2 linked regions of the Caenorhabditis elegans genome follow. The protein of the gene in region 1 interacts with the protein of each later gene in a pairwise test. Each region holds a gene or a part of one and is shown in the gene's direction. Other genes may lie near its edges. The genes, in order: M01E5.4 and prx-14.

Region 1 (4,783 bases):
AAAATCTGTAGAAACTTGGAGCTTATAAACAGAAAATATACCTACATCAGCAAAAAAACTATCGAAAAAATCCAAAAAGTTCTAGAAATCTCAAAAAATACATACGAATTAAGTCGCTCCGACACGGGCAAATTGATAAATTTTGAAAATTTCAACTACACATAGCCTTTTTTCTCAAATATTCATTTAAATTTGATACTTTGGGGGCATTTTGAGACAGAAATTCCAGCAAACTGAAGGGTTATATTCGTAAAACTCGGAACATTTCAGATTCGTCAAATCTACGAAAACCGAGGCCAGAAAATAACATCTCCTAATATTAAAAATTGACTTTTGACACCAACTAAATCATCATTTTTCAAATCAATAATTCTCAAAGTCCCTCAAAAAATACTCATCCAACTTTCTTCCATCTACTGAATCCATCCTCCTAGCACGAAGGTCATCTGCACTATTTACACCCGGTGTGCACTTTCCGTCGCCTGCTCCCTTCTCTCTCACGGGCGGCATCATATCTCTCGCTTCTCTGCGTCACTTTGGCGCCCGGTGCCCGCGAATGATGTATGTGCTCCTTGTGCCATAAGAGGGCTGATTTAAGATCTGAGCAGAGGGAGAAAGAGAGAGAGGAAACGACCACGCAAAAGCTAGAATCTCTAATTCAACACGGCTTCTGATTGCTCAATGATTCATCAAAAGAGGGAGCAGGGTTCAATTTTGCTGTTCAAGGCCGGAGATTCGAGTTTTGCAGCTGCAATGGCGATTTTTTGAACGAGAAAACCACAGTGAACCCCTTAAAATTTTTTTATCCACAGAAGAAACTAGTATATGCCCGAAATTCGAAGAAAAATATTCAAAAAAAAGCACATGGATTCGCAATTTTAATTCTTTCGAGGTAGAATCACAAAAAATATGTTTTTTTTTTCAGAAAAAAAAATGTTTAAAAAGTATGCCTCTGTATTTATGAAATTAGCGAAAATACTTGAACCTGTCTAGTCTGAATTGTTTGCTGTGTCATCTTGACCCAAGTGCACACACACACTCGTACAGTGGCGAATCAATGAGAATGACATACTTTTGAATTTAAAAAGATGAAATATGTAGATTATAACACCAGAAGACGAAGAGTTAAACCGAAAATGAGGAAAGGAACACAAATTCATATTTAAAAAATGAGGTATTTTACGATTAAATAAGTAATTCGCTTCAAATAGGTTTTCAAGAATCTTAGAAATATATTGCTCCACATACCGCGTTCTCACTGTGCTAAATTTCATCATAATTAATAATTAACACAAAACACAAAAATTACGCGGTTTTTGGGTAAATTTGTACATTTCGGCATCAAAATCGCACCAGAAAATTCAATTTCACCTACGAAAATCATCGAAAATCACTCAAAATTCATTACAAGCAACAGGATTTGAAAATAATCGATATCGAGTTTTTTGAGGCGTTCCATCAGAAAAATGTCGAACATGTTCACTTTTTTCACAAGTTTTCGATGAAAATCACTAAAATTTTAGGCACAAGTGGAGAAAAATACGGGGAATTCGATAAAATAAACGAAAATACGCAAAAAATCGGGCGCAGGTGCCCCAGAAAGGGTCCAAAAAACTGCAAAATCTGTGGTGTTATTTCGTGCCAGACAGTGAGGCGATGCGGTCGCGTCGCGTGCTCATGTGCGGTGGAGCGAACATGCTGATCAGGTGTTCGTGACGATTTTTTGCGAGTTCCCAACCGATTTTCGAGGATTTTTTTTTTTTCTGTTGAAATTTAGAATTTTTATTTCAATTTAAACGTTGAAAATTTTATAAATTAAAGGTGAAAACTATGGAATACATGAAAAGTTCTCATACACCCAATTAAAATCATTTTTACCCTTAAAACAATTCTTGATTATCGATTAAAACTAAACGTTTTCCCACTACATTTTCGTACTTTTCCTGCAATTCCAAGTGTATTTGAAGCTTATCAGTCAGTATTCTCCATTCGTACCGAAATTTCCCCTATAATTTTCTTATTTTCAGTAATGACGCGACCACATCAGCCAAGAATAGACTTAAATCACGGATTTCTTCGATTTATTAGACGCAATCAAGTTGATCGCGATGAGTACAATCGAGTACATGAAGAAAGAAAATCAGAGATTCGCGAACGAATTGGCAGCAGTGATAGTTCACAGGATGGTGAAGAGAAAGCTCAGTCGAACGTCTATGTTCCGCCACACTTGAGAAGGCAGAAAAAGGAAAATGAAGAGAAATTTTCAGCTTTGAAAGGTAATTAAAGCAAGTTTTTCCAGGAATATTCTAAAAACTCCATTTTCAGCTTCCCGATCACAATCCCAATCAGACACTGGTTCAGAAGAAGGCGAAGGAGCATCAGGAGGCGGTGAAGCCAGTTGTCCGATTCAACAGAAACAGAAAGCATTTGATGAAAATGTACGGAGACAAGTACGCCGAAGAATCGAACGAACTCACCCGACAGTCGATGATATTTGCATAGTATTGGCCAATTATAGCCTTCAGGAAGCCGCTTCAAAAAATTCAGAAAATTCGAATGAAGACCTTTTCGAGTTGGTTTTGACGCTGAAATCCGGAGAACAGAAGACGATTGGAGTGCCCAGGGTACTGCTTTACTGCTTCACCACTGGTTAGAGGGGAAAAATAAAAAATCTCATGTTAATTAGTTTTTCCCGTTATTTTTTGATATTCCCATCACTTATTTTTCGGTCGGTTCGGTTTCATCACGAGTTTTTGGATGAAATTTAGTCTTAGACCCCCCCCCGCCGCTTATCAAGGTGATACGATTTATGGCTTTTGTTCCCCACTACGTGAAGATACTGTTTTTAAGAAAATCGATAGAATATTTCGATTTTTTTGTGGTTTTTTGAGTCAAATTCAAGGTTTTTTGGGCTTAGTTTAGGTTTTTAAAAACCAAATGTATAGAGTTTAAGCCAAAACTAGCGGTTTTAAAGTAAAAATTGCGATTTTACAGCTAAATTTAGATAATAGGGTTCTTAATGCCAACTTTTGAGAATTTTGAGCTTAATTTAGGGTTCTTGAGACAAATTTAATAGTTTTAAAGCCAAATATAGAGGTTTTATAGAAAAATGTCGAAATTTTAAACCAAATTCAGGGTTTTAAATACAGATTCAGTGGTTTTAGCCAAGTTTACGGTTTTGAGCTAAATTTACAGTTTTGAAGCCAAAGTTAGGGAGTTTTAAGGGTTTTCAAACTAATTTAGCGGTTTCATACCAAATCTAGGGGTTTTAAAGCCAAATTATGCATTATTTGTGCAAAATTTAAAGCTTTTAAAACAACATTTTGGCTGTTTTAAACCAGTTTTACTAGTCTAAAGTCAATTTTTGAGATCTTATTAGCCAAATGAATAAATTAATTTAATTTCAGAACACACAAGCCGCCCGTCTCGCGAAGTCTCTTTCCCGCGAACATCATTTTTCGGACTCCCAATGCAGAAATTTGCGAATTTTCATTGAAGAGCAACTCGAGCTCCGATTTGCTCGTGAGAAGTCAACTGCCACGTCATCAGATGCATCGATTCCCGGCTCTCCGACGTCTTCATCGGAATCATCGATTATAGAGTTTTCTGCTTGAAATATCAGAGCTTTTTGTGTGACTGTGTTACTGTGTTGTTGTTGATGTTGCTCGGCTTAAAATATTTTAATGTAATTTTTAAATTTGTGTTAAGAAAAAATCAAGCTCTTTTTATATTCACTTTTTAAATTCAAGTTTTCTGTTTCTCTTTTCTCTGTCGCTCTCTTTGTCATTTGTTCTCGATTTCCCTGTTTTCTCGTCATTTCCACATTGACTGGTGCCGTTTTTTTGTACTTTTTATGTCGAAATTAGGCAAATTTTAGGCCTGTGATCGTGTTTTTTCTCCTTCTGTGTTTTTTTTCGATATACTCGCGCCATCATATCGATTTTACTTCTTCGGTTTCCTCTTTTTTCGAATTTATTTTAATTTCAAATATTAGTTGTAATGAATAGATTGCAAGCTTTTCGGCCGCCACCTAGGGCGGCCATTTTTTTTTTTTTTTTGAATAATTTTTTCGTCGTTTCTTATCGACTTTTTCTCAAATATCTTTGCACTTTACCGTTCTTTTTTTTGCGTTTTACCCCACAATTTTCGCCTTATCGCACTTGTTATCGTCCTATCATGACCACACTTTTTTCTCTTTTTCACGAGATTTTTCACTCTCTGTTCCCTTTTTTGCCCAATTTTTCCCCTCTGCTGCAAACGACGCTCCAACATTACGGCATTTGTGTGTATGTGGTGGAGACGACGAGAGTGACACTCATGTCCTCGGCCTCGCGGTTTTGCAGGAATTGATTGATTTTAGGGTGGCAAATCCTTCGACTTTGTGTAGAATTTGGAGAAAATTTTGGAAAATAACTCTAGAAATTGTCAATTTTTCCATTTTGAGCTCACGTTTCTTTAAATTTCTGATAATTCCACTTTTCCCGATTTTTTTTTTGGCTCCTCGTTCTCGAAATTTTTCCTCGATTTTTTAAAAATGGGTCTCGCTGCGAAAAAGTTTATTTACCTGTCTTAAGGTATTAATTTTTCTCACATTCCAAATGGTATTATTCAAACGCGAGATTGTGCGGATGTCTGTCACTCTCTAACTATCTACACTCTCTGTACCGGTAATACTTGACTTTTAAAAATCGTTAGAAAAACTATAAAATAAAAGTTCCACAATCAACGAGAGTTTTAAGCTACAGTACTCTTTAAAGGCGCACACATTTTTCCATTTAACAAT
Region 2 (3,657 bases), on another chromosome or scaffold:
AATGGAAGAATCATTCAAGGATACCAACAAAAATCATTTTGTATCTCCAGACGACACTCCAAAATCTCATAATCCAGCACATGTGCAGGCACTCGAATTCAAGCTCACGGATTCTCTCAAATCTAAAATCAGTGATGCTCAGAAGAAACACGTCTCTGCAAATTCTGATCTTGATTTTGCGACAATGGAATTCGAAGGACTCAACAGAGATTTGATCAAGAAAACTAAATTGTCACCGGATTCTGTGATGCAGCTTGCTATTCAAATGGCATTCTATTCTTTGTACAAAGAGTTTGTTCCAACGTATGAGTCATGTTCCACTGCTGCTTTCTTGAAGGGAAGAACTGAATGCATGAGGTAAGCTTATTCCTCAGAATTAAAATATCAAGTTTCAAAACTCAATTTTCATATCGGCAACATCAGCTACGCGTGCCGCCACCTTGGCTATTCTTGAAGAAAATCGTAAAGATGTTCGACAACTATTGACTGATTGCTCCACACAACATTTCCAACTTGTAAAAGAAGCATCAATGGGACAAGGATATGATCGACATTTGCTCGGCCTCAAAATCACAGCTCAACGATTGAGCCAACCAACTCCAGATTTCTTCCAAGATCCAGGATACACGAGAATGGGTCATTTTGTACTTTCAACGAGCACTTTGTCAACGGATACGATTGTCTTCGGAGGATTCGGACCAGTTGTGCAAGATGGATTCGGTATTGGATACAACGTTGTTCCCAACAAACTCGGAGCCGTTATTTCGAGCAATAAGGTTCGTGATTTCTCTATTACCCAGACGCTAAATTTTATACTTTTTGCGTCAAAATTACGGTAGTGGTCTCGACGCGACCTTTTTTTTGTTGCTAAATCCAAACTTTCGTTGCTTCGGAATTTTTTAATCATTTTTTCGATAAGAAATATATGTATATTTAAAAAAAATAAAGCAAAAAAACTGAAAAAAAAAACCAATAAAAACAACAATATGTTGCAACATTGAACACATCGTAAGAAACAAAGAAAAAGTCAATTAAAATTCCAAAGCCTAAGAGCTTTAAAGGCGCACAGCTTTTCGCATTTAATAAAAAAAACTATCTTGTTGATACCCGAAAAATTGTCTAATTTTTTTTTGAAAAAAAAATTAGTCAAAAAATAGAAATATTTAGAAGTTTTTTAAAAGTATATGGAAAAAAAAGAAACTTTTTTAAGAATATAAATATTATCAGATATTATATAAAAATCGAAATAAAACTAAACATCAATAAATTGAGATTAGAAAAATCTTGTTCAGGTACCGTATTTTTGACAAAAAAAACTCGAAAATTTCAGGTTATTATCTTATCTCTTAGAATTTGAAAACATCTTATCTTTATAAAATTTTCAGTCGAAACGTGACGCTGCCGCCTTCTCGAATGCTCTTTACAAGAGTTTGGACATTCTTCGTGGTCACCTTCTCGATCCGAAATAATTGTTTGATGACATTTATGTATTTATAGTGTAAACTACTTATTTATATTCATTTTTCTGTATTTTAGGGTAATTTTTCCTCGCGGTTTCTGCCAGATTTTAACCTAACGAGTATTTTCAGTTTCAAAAAATTCTTGCTTTCACATTGTAAATGTTAATTTTTGTGATAAATTTTTATCAATCGGGAAATCAATGTTTGATTATTTGATTATTCATTGATGGTTTTGTTATCGGTTCAAACCTTTTATTATCGATTTTCACTCATTTTTTAGATTATTCAATTTATTGCCATATGTATTATACTTTTATTTTAAAGCTTCAGGTTGAAAATGACTGACCCATCTAGTTCCCCGATTCGACCGGACATGGTAGAAGCAGCAAGAAAGTTTATGCTAACTCCAAAAGTTAAAGAGACTCCATTTGAAGAACAACGACAGTTTTTATTAGGAAAAGGAGTCAGTGAGGCTGAAATCTTGGAAGCACGAGCATCTATTCCGCCGGAGCAGTTGAGAAGTCAAATTGGAACAGAGAATATGATTCCAATAGGAGGTCATCCGCAAATGATGATTGCTCCAAAACAGAATGGGTTTGTAAATGAAATTATTGATTTCAAAATATCACCGCAAATTTCAGAATAGTATCATTTGCACAATCAGCTGTGGTACTTGGATCGATTTCATATGCTGGATATCGATTCGTCCGATCATATGTTCTGCCCAGATTCTTCGATATTCCTGATCCAGCAACAGAGGAAATTCGTCAACTGCAATCACAAGTCGACGATCTTCAGAATTCAATAAAATTCATAATGGATTCTGTTTCGCAAACAACACAACAGCTTGCAACACAACAATCAGAAATTTCAAGAGCCCTCTACTCAGTTGCTAACAGAGATGCTGATTTGAATCGGGTTGAGGTGAATTCTAGAAGATGGTTTTTGTAATGCTAATATTTCAATAATTTTCAGAGCGGAATTTCCACGATAAAAAGTTTACTTCTCAGTCAACATAATTTTGCTCCAATCGTAACACCTAGTGTTACTTCATCAATTCCATCATGGCAGCAGAGTGCAACTCCAACTTCTGCAACATCAATCACCACAACTACAACTTCTGAAGCAGCTTCCGGATATGCAACTCCTCCAGCCAATTTCAAAGAATCGTCATTAGCTGACGAGTTGGCAGATATTGAAAATATTGAATAGAATTTCAGAAATCTATGTAAATATATAATTAAATTAATCATTTTTAATGCACTCCTCGAAAGCCATTCCCTTTTTCTGTGATTTCTCATCAATTCACTGTGCCTTTTCATTTTTCATGTGCCACATTCCAAAGATTGTTAATTTCATCTGTGATATTACGAAAGAAAATCATATCGACATCTGAACGTTTCATTTCACAAAATGGTTGAGAAACCAGATATAAATTATCAGAATAAAAATGTGTTGCATGAAATAAACATTTGTTATTTAGGCATAATGAACAAATCGTTGATTGCTCTCGGAGCACAGACAGCTCGTCGATTTCTGAGCAGTTCATCAAAAAATACGATAGGAGGAGGAGATGCGAATCGGGCAGACACTGGTAATTTTAGGTTTTTTGACTAATAAAAAATGTATTTATTTAGCATCCGTTACTTTTCGTTTATTCCGTTTTGGATTCGGCAAAAATTTGTAAACACTCGATTTCTGATATTTTTCCAATTCATCAAACCTGCAGTCACGAAGCTATTTATACGGTACTCGGTCTCGACACGAAAACTTTTTTTAATGCAAAAAAGTACACTCCTTTAAATAATGAGTGCTGTAAATTCCCACTCTCATTTCTAAGAATTTTATTCCATTTTTCGTAGGTTTTCTCAAGATTTGTTAAAATTTATGTGTTTTTATTGTAAAATTTAAGTTTTTCATAAATTAATGTGTATATCTTTATAGAAAAACTATGAAAAATTGATAAAAATTCAACATCATGATGATCAACGAAAGTTTGAAACTACAGTAATCTTTAAAGGTGCACACCCTCTTGCACTCAACAAGAATTTGCCGTGTCGAGACCGGTAAGAATCGCAAAGTTTCGTGTATGGGTAATACCACTAGCTACAATTTTATTATTCATTATAAATTGAAAAAAATAGTTCTAAAAAACAATATATTTAACTTGACAGGTGTACTCGATGGTTATCATATA

The links.
Region 2: the proteins of M01E5.4 (region 1) and prx-14 interact in a two-hybrid assay, tested with the Caenorhabditis elegans proteins (one large-scale study listed by BioGRID).

What each region holds. Positions count from the first base shown.
Region 1 is NC_003279.8:13,286,787-13,291,569, reverse strand, and holds M01E5.4 (uncharacterized protein), read left to right. Parts: upstream 1-2,027; 5' UTR 2,028-2,029; coding exon 2,030-2,276; intron 2,277-2,325; coding exon 2,326-2,624; intron 2,625-3,407; coding exon 3,408-3,614; 3' UTR 3,615-4,017; downstream 4,018-4,783.
Region 2 is NC_003282.8:11,181,348-11,185,004, forward strand, and holds prx-14 (Peroxisomal membrane protein PEX14), read left to right. Parts: upstream 1-1,784; 5' UTR 1,785-1,797; coding exon 1,798-2,054; intron 2,055-2,101; coding exon 2,102-2,384; intron 2,385-2,435; coding exon 2,436-2,672; 3' UTR 2,673-2,948; downstream 2,949-3,657. Other genes in the region: cpt-2 (Calponin-homology (CH) domain-containing protein), read left to right, coding at 1-357, 410-776, 1,386-1,469; nuaf-3 (NADH dehydrogenase [ubiquinone] 1 alpha subcomplex assembly factor 3), read left to right, coding at 2,949-3,054, 3,635-3,657.